2 linked regions of the Stegostoma tigrinum genome follow. The protein of the gene in region 1 interacts with the protein of each later gene in a biochemical or structural test. Links are inferred from orthologs where the notes say so. Each region holds a gene or a part of one and is shown on either strand. Other genes may lie near its edges.

The links.
Region 2: the proteins of bcl2l1 (region 1) and voltage-dependent anion-selective channel protein 1 form a complex in vitro, tested with the Homo sapiens proteins (4 studies listed by BioGRID). The link is inferred for Stegostoma tigrinum from reciprocal best matches to the Homo sapiens genes BCL2L1 and VDAC1.

The regions. Positions count from the first base shown.
Region 1 is NC_081372.1:57,848,563-57,855,934, reverse strand, and holds the start of bcl2l1 (bcl-2-like protein 1), read left to right. Parts: upstream 1-4,352; 5' UTR 4,353-4,574; coding exon 4,575-5,045; intron 5,046-7,372. UniProt on the Homo sapiens protein: Potent inhibitor of cell death. Inhibits activation of caspases. Appears to regulate cell death by blocking the voltage-dependent anion channel (VDAC) by binding to it and preventing the release of the caspase activator, CYC1, from the mitochondrial membrane.
Region 2 is NC_081366.1:29,524,475-29,531,480, reverse strand, and holds the start of voltage-dependent anion-selective channel protein 1, read left to right. Parts: upstream 1-3,984; 5' UTR 3,985-4,095; intron 4,096-7,006. UniProt on the Homo sapiens protein: Non-selective voltage-gated ion channel that mediates the transport of anions and cations through the mitochondrion outer membrane and plasma membrane.

The DNA of each region.
Region 1 (7,372 bases):
TTGCAGGACACTGTCATCTCATAAGCACTGATGTCATTCAGAATGACATACCATGTTGTAGAATAAGTGTTCGATGAAAAAGCATTATCATTCTCCATGTCCAAACATGACTAAACATTTGTATTCAGTAAAGCTGTAAATTCGCAATTTACGGGATCCAGGCATTACTGTATTCCATTGAGACAATTCAGGATTTTCTCATCAAGGGATGACAGAAGTGTTATTAATATTTGTAGATATGAGTTTGGCAGATAAGATGATTATATGGAAATCAAATATACAATTTGCTCACCACTCTTCACAAAAATTACAGCTACTGCTAAAGGATGTCGGAATTGTAGGCAAAGAACAGGAAACCCTTGTCAAAAAAATCACATTGCATTGTGATATTAGTATTGAATATTGTAAGACACCACCATGCCTGGTTGTAAGCTCCTACAGTCTGAAATTCAATGAAGTAAAAGTTATGGATCTGAAGATATGGGTCAAAGATCAGAACGTCTATTAGATTTTGTAGATATGGTGACCAGGTTTACCATACACACAGTGATAAACAATAAGGGTAGGTGGACGATAGCGTAAAAAGACATGGAAAAGTGGGCCAGTACAGTCCTTGGGTCACAATGGATAATGAAGGTGAATTTGCAGATGACAAATTTGGGGACATGTGTGTGAATACAAATATTGTAGTAATGCATATTGTTGCAGAAAGTCCATTCAGCAACGGCTTGCATGAAAGAAACCATCTGATAGTAATGAGGCTCTACACAAAATATTGACAAATCAGTCAATCAGAAAGTTACAAAAAGCACTGGCAATCAGCAGTAAATGCAAAATGTTCTTTATAAATAGTTGGCAGTTTTAGCTCAAACCACTTAGTACATGCTCAGAATGTTGCCTTCAATACTGCATGATGATCCTAGAATATCTGGCAATCAGCACCAGTGTGAAAGCACTCATTAAAGCTGAAAAGGTTGGAGAGCATTGACATACTGCATCAGATGCTTTGGGAGAGATTTCAAATCCAGTGGCATGGTTTATGATAAGCCAGAAGGACACAGCAAATGCAAAGATCCAGCAAATGTTATTGGATGTGACAGGAGAACTTTCACAGGAATCAAACTATAGGAGTACATTACCCATGGCTAGTGGTGATAAGTTCAAAAAGTCATACAGTATGGAAGCAGACCCTTCAGTACAACAGTCTATGCTGACCATAATCCCGAACTAAACTAGTCCCATCTGCCTGTGCTCGGCCCATATCCCTCCAAACATTTTAAACATTGTAACTGTACCTGCATCCACCAATTCCTCTGAAAGGGGGAGGCAATGGCCTCATACTTTCATTGCTGGACTGTTAATTCCAGTGGCCCAGATAGCATTCTGGGGGCCCAAGTTAGAATCCTGCCATGTGCTCCTGAGATGCTGCTTGGCCTGCTGTGTTCATCCAGCCTCACATTTTATTATCTTGGAATTCTCCAGCATCTGCAGTTCCCATTATCTCTGATGCCATCCTTACCTGGTCTGGCCTACAAGTGACTCCAGACCCACAGCAATGTGGTTGACTCAGAACTGCCCTTTGGTTGATTAGTGACGGACAATAAATGCTGTCTAGCTAGTGATGCTCTCATCATGTTAATGAATTAAAAACTGCTCATTCCATACATGAACCAGTCTCTGTGTAACAATATTGCCCTCGTCTTTTTTTAAAATATTTTTCCTCTCAGCTTAAAAATATGACCCCCAGACTTGAAATCCCCGACTCTACAGAAAAGATAACTGCCATTCATACTGCTTATTATTTTATAAACTTCTAGCAGGTCACTTCTCAACCTCCTACGCTCCAGTGGAAAAAGTCCCACCCTTTCCAGCCTCTCTTTATAACCCAACCCATCCATTCCCGGCATTGTCCTGGTAAATCTCTTCTGAACCCTCTCCAGCTTAATAATATCCTTCCTAAAACAGGGAGAACAGAACTGGACATAGTACTCCAGAAGAGGCTTCACCAACGTCCTGTCCAACCACAATATAACGTCCCAACTTCTATACATAAAGGTCTGAGCAATGAAAGCAAGCATACTAATGTCTGCTTTCTATATGTGACACGAACTTCAGACAATTATTTACCTGAAACCCCTGGTCTCTCTGTTCTACAACACTGCCCAAGACCCTACTTTTAATTGTGAAAGCCGTGTCTTTATTTGTTTTCCAAAATGCAATGTCTCACATTTTTTCAAATTAAACTCCATTTGCTACTCTTTAGTACCCAATGATCTCTTGTAATCTTAGATAACCTTCTTCACTGTCCACTTTACCACCAATCTTGGTTTCATCCATAAACTTATTTAAAGTATTTCATTTATTCAAACTTCGTATTTTATATAAATTTTACATATGCAAAATTAGTATTTCTTCTTGCATATATTCACTCTTAATTCAAAAAAACCTGGTTATATGCACGTTAAAAAAGGAGTCAAGTCCATCTGAAAGATAAAGGGATCCTATGGATCCAAAACCCAGAAGGAGTGGCTGGACAAAGTGAAGCCAAGACATTAAGAGTTTGAGATTATCCAATGTGGGAACTTGCCCAGGATCTGGGCATAACAGGCACCAGGTAACAATGTCAGGATCTGAGAAGATCAAAAGTAATGCCTCAAAAGCACTCAAAATCAGTTAGAATTATTCTTGATATATGACAGTGAGGTAGGGCATTTAACCCAACAGGTCCATACAAACATTTATTCTCTACTTGAGACCCTCTCAACTTCAGTACTCATACAGTTATCTAGTCTCCCATTAAAAACAGCTATCATGTTCTCTTCAAAACTCACAGGAAGATGAATTTTCGGACTCTAAGAACATGGGCAAAGGCGTTGCCGGCAAAGAACCAGGTACTTTATGTACCCGTGAGTTCTACAAATTGGTGCTGAGGGGCAGGACCTAAGGGCTCAGGAAATACACACTGATAAAAGCACCAATCATGATGAACATGAAGAAGTTATCTCATGTGGGGATCATTTTCCCAAAATAAGTTCACAAGTGGTTAACTTGCCACTGATTCAGCTGAAGTAGGGTGCCACAATAGTGGGACGTGAAGGCAAATCTGTGGGAAAATATAAATATTGGCTAAATGGCCAAGACGAGCGACATGATCGATATGATCGGTATGACGGGTCGGCACAACATCGAGGGCCAAAGGGCCTGTACTGTGCTTTAATGTTCTACATTCTATGACATGAGGCTGTGGATTGGTAACAGGCAGTATGAGAATGAGAATGGAGAAACCCAGTTCCAGTTTGAATACTGATTCAGAAAATACATTTAGGAGGATAAAGCCAGATGCAATAATGAGGATTTCTGGCAGACATCCTCATAGGAGTATAGTGCAGAGAGATCCCAATGTTAGAATAGAAACTGCAGCTAAACAAGATGACTGGATAGCAAGGATAATGCAGACCTTCCTGGAACAACAGATAAAAGTCAATGTCCTCATGATCAGAAGATGTTTGCAGCTACAGTTAAATCCCCAAACCCTGACCACCATCTACAAGGCACAAGATAAACTAAACATTGTCTCTTAACACTCAATGGCATTACCATCACTGCAATCTCTACCAACATCTCCTGGGTCACCACTGGCCAGAAACTCAATTGGAGTAAGGTTGTAGGTTTGCTCACCGAGCTGGTGTGTTTGATTTCAGACGTTTTGTCACTCTGCTAGCTAACATTGTCAGTGCACCTCTGGTGAAGCTCATCTGAGCTACAAATCGTCTCAAAAAATTTCAACTGGAGTAAACCCTGTAGCTACAAGGGTAGGCCAAAAGCTAAGGATTCTGCAGCGATTAATTCACCTCCTGGCTCCCCAAAGTCTGTCCAGCACCTACAAGGTACAAGTCAGGAGTGTGATGGAATACTCCCCACTTGTGGATGAACGCAGCTCCAATGACACTCATGAAGCTTGACACCATCCAGGACAAAGCAACTCACTTGATGGGCACCACACCCACAGACATCCATTCCCTCCACCATCAGTGCTAAGTAGCGGCATTGTGCCTTCTACATGATGTTATACAGAAATGCGCCAAAATATCCTTCAACAGCACCTTCCAAATCCACATGAAGACAGACAAGGGTAGAAGATGGATAGGAACACGGCCTGCTGCAACTTCCCTTCCACCCTAACTAAGGTCGTGTTAGCGGGGGGTCGTAGGGTACGGCGCTGCGATAGTGACTGGAGCCCGGATAGGCGGGTAAATGTGGGGCGCAGTCTCCGTGAGCAGGGCGGGCCCAGGAGGCGGTGCCTCATGTGTATTAGGCGGGGCCTATAGCGGGTCGGTGTCCCGGCAGAAGGCGGTGGTCCCATGGGGAATGGGCGGGGCCTATAGTTGGGCAGGGTACCGGTAGAGGGCGGGGCCTTAGCAGGGCGGTGACCCCCGCGGTGGGCGCGGCCCCGTGGTCAGTGGGCGGGGTCTCAGGCCCGGTCCCAGTGGGTGCGGGGGGAAGGGGCAGGCCTCGAACAGAGAATCTCTCGTGTCCGTCATGCCGGCTACTGGGTGAGGTGCCGACGCTGCAGGATGTACAGTAGTGGGGAGCTGGTCGCTGATTTCCTTCGTTATAAACTGTCCCAGAGGGGCCACAACTGGAGATGGCTTTGTGAGCAGAATGGAGCGGCGGGCCTGGGGACACAGCCCGAGCCCGGAGCGGCTGTGTGCAATGGCAGGCCCGAGGCTGAGCGGGCCCGCCAGGCCCTGTTGGATGCCGCTGAGGAGTTCGAGCTGCGCTACCGCCGGGCTTTCAGCGATCTGTCGGCGCAGCTCCGCGTTACGCCGGACACGGCATACCGGCGCTTCGAGCAGGTGGTGGGTGAGCTGTTCCGCGACGGCGTTAACTGGGGCCGGCTGGTGGCTTTCTTCTGTTTCGGGGCGGCCCTGAGTGTGGAAAGCGCCGAGAAGGAGATGGGCGCACTGGTGCCCCGCATCGCCGACTGGATGAGTACCTACCTGGAGAACAACCTGGACCCTTGGATCCGGCAGCACGGTGGCTGGGTAAGAGCTCTAGCCAGCTTCATCCACCAGGTCTCTACATTGCAAAGCCTGGGAATCTATACAGTGTACCTGATTCCTAACTCTAGCCCCACGTCGCTCACCTTTCACACTAGGTCGTTGTCCTGTAGTCCAAGAGTCTCTTTCTATCCACACATGGTATCTGACTCCTTATTCCCTAACCACAATAACCCCTCACCCTCTGATCCTGAACCCTATAAACCCTCATCCTCCACATAGAATCCTGACTGTTAATCCCTAAATCTATAACCCTTCATCCTCTACACAGGAAGTCTGACCACTTATCCCTAACCCTATACCCCTTTCCCCTTAGATACGCCAACCCTGGCTTAACACTAAAGAGCTTTTGGCCCTGACTTCTGTAGAGAGCTGGCAGACACTGGGCTGAATGATCATCCTACTTTCTGTGTGATTCAGAGATTCTACCTCCATGGCAGCGTTGGTCCGAGTTTGCTAATTTCTGGAAAATGTTTAAAATCACTGAATTTAACCGATAAAATGGAGAGACCCCATAATCCTAGCTTGCTGTGATACTCCATCACACTGTTATTTCTTGATGCAGCACATTTGACTTTGCGCACTGTATTGAGAAGGATTTCCACAATTTATTTGGGTAGTTAGCATTTCTTTGAAAGAATATGAGAGCTAAACCTAAACTCTAGCATCCCAGTGAAGTTTGGTATTGAATAGATAGATGTGTTTAATTCTTTAGGGCTTGTGATCTCCAACTTTGTTTTGGTTTTGTGGGCTGTTTTGAAATTGGGTCTTCTGAGCAGCATACCCTTAATTGATGGAGAAATTTTCAATCCATGATCACTTGGACTTTAAATTGGGCCATGAGTGAGAAACTTGCAAAATGCATCAAGACGGCAATGTGCTGGTCAGGTAGTCAAACAGAATTCCATCTACAGAAATGAGAGTTATTAGATTTTGGGAGGGCAAAGAAATAACAACAGCTGATGGGACATTGTGAAGTTTGTGGAAAAAGAGAGACTTTTGAGTACGTTCCACATAATTCTGATTTAAAAAAAACATGAGTAGTCAATAAATTAGCAAAGAATGTGTATGGAATAACTTCCTTATTAGCCAAAGCCTAGAATATTTGAGGGAGGGTGTTTGCTTAAATTGTATATAGCTGTGGTTAGTGCACTGTGTACAGTTCTGTGATCACATTGGAGGGTTACAGAGAAGAATTACAAGGGTGTGACAAGGAGTGGAGAATTTCAGCTATGAGGAAATGTTTCCATTGAATAGAGGCAACCATGGGAAGATTTAATTGTGATGAAAAGATAGACTTGAGGGGTCTAGATTGCGTGGATGGGAAGGTACTATTTCCCTCAACAGCAACTTGAGATCATTGATGTAATTTAGTCAATACAGTGTGGAGTTGGAGGAACACAGCAGGCCAGGCAGCATTAGAGGAGCAGGAAAGTTGATGTTTTGGGTTGGGACCCTTTGCCAGTCCCGATGAAGGACCCGACCTGAAACATCGGCTTTCATGCTCCTCTGATGCTGCCTGACCTGCTGTGTTCCTCCACCTCCACACTGTGTTAACTCTGATGCCAGCATCTGCAGTTCTTGCTGTTTCTCTCAATGATGTAATTTTGTTGGTAAAAGGATTAGAAAGGAAATGAGGAATAATTATGTTGGCCAGAAGATGCTGGGGATTTGGTATTCACTGCCTGGAAGGCAAAGAGGGATAAGCCTTTATCCCGCTTAGGCGTTTGGTTTGCACTTGAAATGCCATAACCTATTAAACTGATCAAGAGCTGGAATGTGGAATCAGGGTGGTGAGCTTTTTTTTTAACAGGACAGAAACGATAAGTCAAATGGCCTTTTGTGCTGTGAATTACAGTCCTAAATTACAGTAATTCTATCTTTTGATCAGAAAGACAGATTTGCATTTCGTTAAAGCCTGCCACAACCTCAGGGTGTCCCAAGCTACTTTACCTCCAATGAAACACTTGGTCATGTATCAGTCAGTTTGAGATATAAGTGAATTAAAGGAGAGAAAAGTTAATTTTTAATGTAGCCCTTGAGACAAGAATGTAACACATCTCTGCAGATGTGAAGAGAGGAACCTCACTGATTGACTCAGCATCTGTGATGTCGTTTGGCCCAAAGTCTGGAGGAGAAGTTGGGCTGTAGTGTGTAAAGATGGAAGTAATTGGTATAATTTGAAATGTGTGTACAATTCTGGTCCGCATCTTTTTGAATATTGATCCATTGTACTCAGAGCTGACCGGTGTGAAGAATGAACCGTATAAACGTTTGTAAGACTGTGTGATTGTTGCGTAGTTTTGAACATG
Region 2 (7,006 bases), on another chromosome or scaffold:
TCTGATTAGTAGGTTGGCAGATAATGTGAAAATTGGTGGAGTTTTGGATAGCGAGAAAGGTTGTCTACTGGAAACTGAGAAGTTGACAAGTCATGTGGCAGCTGCGTAAAACTTTAGTTAGGCCCCATTTAGAGTGTTGTGTGCATTAATTTTTGCCACATCCTAGAAAGGAAGAGAAGGCTTTGGAGAGAGTTCAAAAGAGGTTTGTCTGGATGTTGTCTGAATTGGAACAGATTAACTATAAGGAGAGGTTGGACAAACTTGCATTGTTTTTGCTACAGCATTTGAGGCTGAGGTATGACCTGATAAAAGTATATAAAATTATGGATAAGGTGAAATAGGTTTCAGGTGAGGGGGAAAAGTTTAAAGGAGATATGCGGGATACGTTTTTTTGTGCAGAGGTAGGCGCCTGGAATGAGCTGCCTGGAGCGGTGATAGAAGCAGATATGATAGCAACATTTAGGAGGCATTTGAACGGACACATGAACACACAGGGTATAGACAGATACAGATCATATGCAGGCAGATGGGATTAGTTCAGAATGTCATTATGGTTGACATATGGTGGACCAAAGTGCCTGTTCCTGTATTGTACTCTTCTATGTTCTAAACTCTAAGCTTAAACATTACAGAAGAGATTTACTGGGTTTTGCAGGCCAGTAAGCCATTAACTCTGAACAGATCCTGAAAAATTACAAAGGTGTCTTTTTACAGATGTTGGATATCTTCCCAATGAATATTATCCCAAAGTAAATGAGGGCGGTGACCAACCCAGCACCTGTCAAGAAAAGTTCCATTCTGAAAGACAACATAGAACTGCTTTAGAAGAACATTGGAAACAAACCTAGAAAGAAGATAGCATATATGGATCCAAAGGATCTCAACAAAGCCTTGAAGTGATATCATTTCATGGTGCCAGCCAAAGGAACATTGCTACAACTTATCAAGACGAAGGTATTCACTACCTTTGATTCTATGGTTGGTTACTAAGAAGTGAAGCTGGATGAAAACAAGTTTTTTTTAAAAACTTTTAAAACTCTGGATGCCATCTGGGAGAGATATTTACATGCATATGCTGTTAGGCACTTGCATTGTCCCAAAAGAGTGTCAATGCTGACAACGTGAGATTATCAGTGACCTTAATGAAGTGCAAGCAATTTTTGATCATATTGTGGAGACAGAACGAAAGAACCCATCACAGATTACGATCAAAATCTGGTGTAATTGCTAGTGTGCTCGCCAGGTGCCTGAATCTGAACAAGAAGATGCAATTGAAGATGCCTGAATTCAAGTACTGTACTGACAGTAAATGCACTTTGCCTGGAACCTGACAAAGTGAGAACTATTTGGGAGAGGCAAGCTGAGAGTGCACTCTGGCCACAACTGCTCTTCCTCAAACTGCTTCTATTCGCAACAAAGAATGCGACTAACTTTGCGAAGATACAAGTTGGGCATGAAAATATAAGCAAGGGAAATGGATATACACTCTTCTGTTGAGAGCTGCATTCTTAATTAAGAAAGTTGAGAATGCTAATGCAGAGGGTGAAATCTTCCAGCTTCAATATGGAGCAACTGTTCTAGAAATCAGCAACCCAGCAGAGGCAATGAATCTGAACTACAAGGGTCTTACTCAAATAAGGTGAATTATACACAAGATGTAACTCTCCAAATCCTGCAGGAAGCAATGATGAAAAGATGGCCTGAAACCATGAAGGACACAGATGTAGCTGTAAGACTATTTGGCATAGAGAGACAAAGAAAGAGCCCAGTACGGCATCTGGTACAAACCAAGTAGTCATTATCCTTAAGGAAGTGAGAAGTATACTGAACCGCATCCATGCTAGCCATCAAGGGATTGAGTCTGGTCTGAGGAAGGCAAGAAAAGCGCTCTACTGGCCAAACATGAACAATGATTACGAACTAAAACCAACACAACGTTTGTAACAAATACCAAGGTCAGCAAGTCAGGGAGACACTGAGGACACATGACATCCGAGGCAGACTATGGGTGAAGCCTGAAGTAGATGTCTTCACTGTTGCAGTGACTGATTACTTTGTTATCATCGATTACTATTCTGACCACTGGAAGTTTGACCAGCTGGTGTTCATGATAATCAGTGAGATTGTAGAATGCCTGAAAGCACTTCAGTCATTACAGTATTCCAGATATTGTCATGAGTAACAATGTTACTCAGTGTTCAGTTGTTTCATAAAGAATTAGAAAATTCAAAAGTATACAATTTCATGCCATCCTGAGTAAAATGGAAAGGTTGAAGCTGCAGTTCAATGTATCAAAGGGATCACAAAGAAATTGAGAAAATTCAGCAGAGTTGTATAAGGCAATCCTTCAGCAAAAAAATACATCAACTGAAGGCACAGAAAGTCACCCAGTCCAAAGATTATTATTATGCACAAAAATTCAAGGTGAAATGGCGGAAAACCAAATTTGACCAAACCAGTTAAAACTGCCAAGGCATGACCAGAGCTGAGTATTAGAGAACAAGTCAGTGTGTAAATCTTCGGCGCTTTCAATAAAAGTCAGCCTAATTACTAAGTTGGGACCTGTGACGAGCAGTTGTCATCTCAATTTGTTCAAGGGAACATGCAACATGCATGTACAACTAGAGAAGTTGTGCATTCACAGGAGGCAATGGATCAGGAAGAATCGATTTCATTATCTACAGAATGGGCATCACTCCTTGAGAGCCACTGTTACCCAGCAACAGAAACGGATTCACAACAAGAGATATCAGGGCAACAGCATCACCACAGGAATGGAACTCCCTGGACAAGCAGTATCAACATTCGAACGAGCACATATCACAGGATCAGCCAACGACAAAGCACACAGAGAATAATGGGACTTGCAAAACGTAAAGACTGCTATTGCAATGCGTACGTAGAGACCGAATGAAGTGACTAGAGTCAGCACACATTATTGTTAATGAATGATAGGTTTATTGCTCACCACGTCTATCGCGGAACTTTCAATTGCAATGACTGTGCGAAAAAGGAACGTTCGAAAAAATGGCATCAGACCGTCCTCCCTGGACTGACATATCTCCCCCCTACCTCCCCAACTACACTCACCTTTACTGGCTCCATCCTCGCCTCTTTAGCTTGTCTGTCTCCCCTCCACCTATCTTCTCTATCCATCTTCGATCCGTCTACCCCTCTCCCCCTCCCTCTTTTCTGATGAAGGGACTAGGCCCGAAACATCAGCTTTCCTGCTCCTCTGATGCTGCTGGGCCTGTTGTGTTCATCCAGCTCTACACCTGGTTATTTCGAAGAAATGTAATTGTGCCCTCACTCTATCAGCTGGCTTGCCACAGTCAGGTAACGTCTACCCATTCTGCCTATGTGAGGAGTCCGTGAGTAACATTAGACATATCCCACTTGAGCCAAAATAAATTCTAAAATAGTAATTTCTCATTTGCTCATACCGCAATGCTTCAGCCCTGTCCGACTTCTCTGCTGAAACTCCACCTAGGAATCATCTCAACCCATTTACGAAATACTTCATCGAAAGCAGGAACACGCCCCTTCTCACTATGCCATTGCGAAGCCAACAGTCGGTTTATTCATAAGCACATGTGTCTCCAGCAGGGTGCAAACGTTGTCACTGACCAGTTGAAAATGTGCCGCAGCAGCGCTCAGTCATTGATAATGGGAACTGCAGATGCTGGGGAATCCAAGGTAACAAAGTGTGGAGCTGGATGAACACAGCAGGCCAAGCAGCATCTCAGGAGATTCAAAATCTCCCCTTCCCCTACTGCATCCCAAAACCAGCCCTCAGTAGAGGAAGGGGAGATTTTGAAGCTCCTGAGATGCTGCTTGGCCTACTGTGTTCATTCAGCTCCACACTTTGTTATCAGCACAACAGTCATTCCCTGGAGCCGCTCCCCTCCGTCGCCGCCCCTCACTGCGCACGCGCCGCCGTTCGCCCGCCCCCTCCCCTTGACTGCGCACGCGCCGTTGACTCCACGTCCCGGGGCATCAGCGCATGTGCAGTCGTTCCCTTTCGGTCAGTGTGTGCTGCTGAGTTGTTCGTTTGGAAATTGTCGGCTGGAAGCTTTCCCTCCCAGCTCTTCAGAGGTATGTTTGTGTAACACCGGCGAGAAGAGGACATGTCAGGTAGTCTATGTTCACAAGGAGAGAGGCGGGAGTGAAAATTCTGGACGTTGCTGGAAAGGGATTTGAGTTTAAAGGCCGGGGCTGGGAGTAGGTGGATGGCATCATGTTTGCCTGTTCTTCTCCAGGGTTACGGTCCGTAATCTACCTCTCTGCCACGAGGTTGAGTCCATGGAATAGCAAAGCTCGTTGAAGGCGTTAACTTATATTTCTTGAGTAGAATCCATGCGTTTGTCTCGCTGGAGTCTGTTGAATGGCGGGTGGAGAGTGACCTTTACCAGCATGCAAGGTTGGGGCACTGACAGCTCTTGCATGTCCTTTGGGCAAAGGCTTTGTAACGCTGTTTGTAGGTAACGCCGCATTTGCAAGCGATCTTCTTTCTGCTTTGTAATAAAAAAGTCTTCCATGTCCGATTTAACATGTATTTTACTTTAATTAGGAACTCTAGTCATAACTATACTCGAGCCTGGCCGTTTGTACCCAATGTGCTGAATATATTTTAGCAACATGTGAAAGCCATGCCAATTTGGAAAGGGCAGTAGTTCCCCACATGTCCTAGGGCTAGAATGACATTTCAAAATGTTCATGTCACAATCTTAGGTTGAAACTTTGAGGCGAAGATATTATGCAAACAGTCTCAAAATTCTCTTCATAGAGAGCACTTGCCTTAGATGCTAAACATTTTCACAACTTCATTAACTCTAGTGTCAGTAATGAACCCTCAGACTGATGAGTATAGATAGTAAACTTTTATTTGATATGTTTAGGGCATTAATTTATTCTTGATATTCATGTAAAAATGGCACTACATGTATTCAGTATCATTGAACATGACTTTCATGCCTGTGTAATGGGGAGAAGGCTGCTCCTCAAATGTTGGCCTTTGCTTTGTAATTTGAAAAACACAATGATAAGGAAACAAATATCAAGCATCAAAATAAATATGCATTGCCTTTCAAGCTTGTTTCCAATATTATGTTTTTAAATGTTGAAAAGTGAGTCTGTTTTGGTTACATGTGCTGTTGGGATTCTTTACCCTAAAAGTTGAGGCATTGCTTAGCTGGGAAGTGATGCTTGGTCTTAAATCAATAAAATATTATACAATCTTTATCCATCTGTTCATATGTTTGAGAGTTTTCTGTACTTGTCCTCCCTTGTGTCAGTTTCCTGAAATAAAACTGCATGAGGACATTGAAGAGCTACTTCAAATTTTCAGAACGTTGTGGTAGGTACTCCTTCAACTTCCCAATGAATTTAATTTTCATGCAAAATGGGATGTTAACTATCACAGAGCGATTATTTTGTAAGCCAGAATTAAATTGTCAAATGATAATTTGTAAGGATTGTGTGGATATCATGTTGCAACTAACCAAGTTGCTACATCCAGTTTATTTTTCATTTTTTGATCTGGGTGTTACTAAGTAGGTTAGAAATATTTCCCTTTTCAACTTGTTGGGAAATGTGATAAAAGGCTTTCATTTTGTAATACTGCATGGTGTTTGAGTCAACTGATTGAGTTGTGATGCCACTTGTTGGAAGTTCACAGTGACTCAAGTTGGTATGGAAATGAATCTACCTACGCAAGTCAGGAGAGGTAAGAACAGAAAACATTTCTTAAAGATGTTACTGAAGCATTTGTTTTTTTCTTTAAAAATGGCAGTGGTACAGTTACTGATACCAGCTTTTTAGTTCCATGCTTTTGTATAAGCTGAATATATGTTCTTCATGCTGGCATGGTATTTAAACAAATGATCTCTGGATTATTAGCCTAGAACCACAGACTATTAGTGTCTACCATTCTAGTATATATACCTATGCAGATATGTTATTGCACTACAAATGCACCACAATTATTGAAAAAAAGTTAACTGCACTGAACACTCTTCACACAAACTCATTTCGAGTCAGGTCCCTTCTTCAGAAATGTCAAGTTCCCTGCTCCTCTGCTGCCTGGCCTGCTGTGTTCTTCCAGCATCTGCAGTTCTTGCTATCTCCGCACATGAAACTCAGCCTGTTTTCTAAGCACAGTACTTTTTTACTTTTGCATTTTCTGGTTTGATGTGTTTTCTTTCTACCGCATGCCAACCAGGCATTCAGGCAGATGACTTGTCCTGAAGCCCATATCAATAATATTGTATAACCTGTTGCAATTTGTGCATAAAAGTAGCATGGGATTTTTCCATCTGCTTGACAGGGCAGATAAGACTCGGTTTAACAGTGTAACCTCCAGCAGAGTAGTATACCCTCTGCACCACATTGAAGTGTCAGCTTAGATGATGTACGTAAAACAGGATATAAGAAATTGAAGTAGAAATATGCCATTTGACCCCTCAAACCTGCTTTAATATTCAGTAAGATTGGGGCTGATTTGACATAATTTTAACTCTTTTCTCCGAGCCCCCATGGTCCTTCTGTGAATCAAAAATCTTTAGTTCAGTTTCAAATCTTTTTATTGACCCAACCTCCATTATTTGCTGAGGTGGAAAGCTCCAAATACCAGCAACCTTCTGAGAGGAGAAATTCTTCCTTACCTTCATTTCAGATAGGAGATTTCTTATTTTTAAATTTTGCCCCTTAGTTCTAGATTCCCACAAGGGAGTCCTGCCACTGCCATGTCAAACCCTGTCAGAATTTAACAAGGTTCAATTAGATTACCTCTCATTCTTCTAAATTCAATGAGCAAGGGGCCAATGTGCTTATCTTGTCTTCCATAAGTTAAACCCTTTATCCAAGAATCAGCCGTGTAAGCCTCCCCTGAACTACTTCCACTGCAAATATGCTTCTCCTTGAGTAAGGTGCAGAACTGTACACAATATTGGAGAGAGTAGTTTCAGCAGTACTCTGTACAGTTGTATCAAAATGCTCTACTTTTATA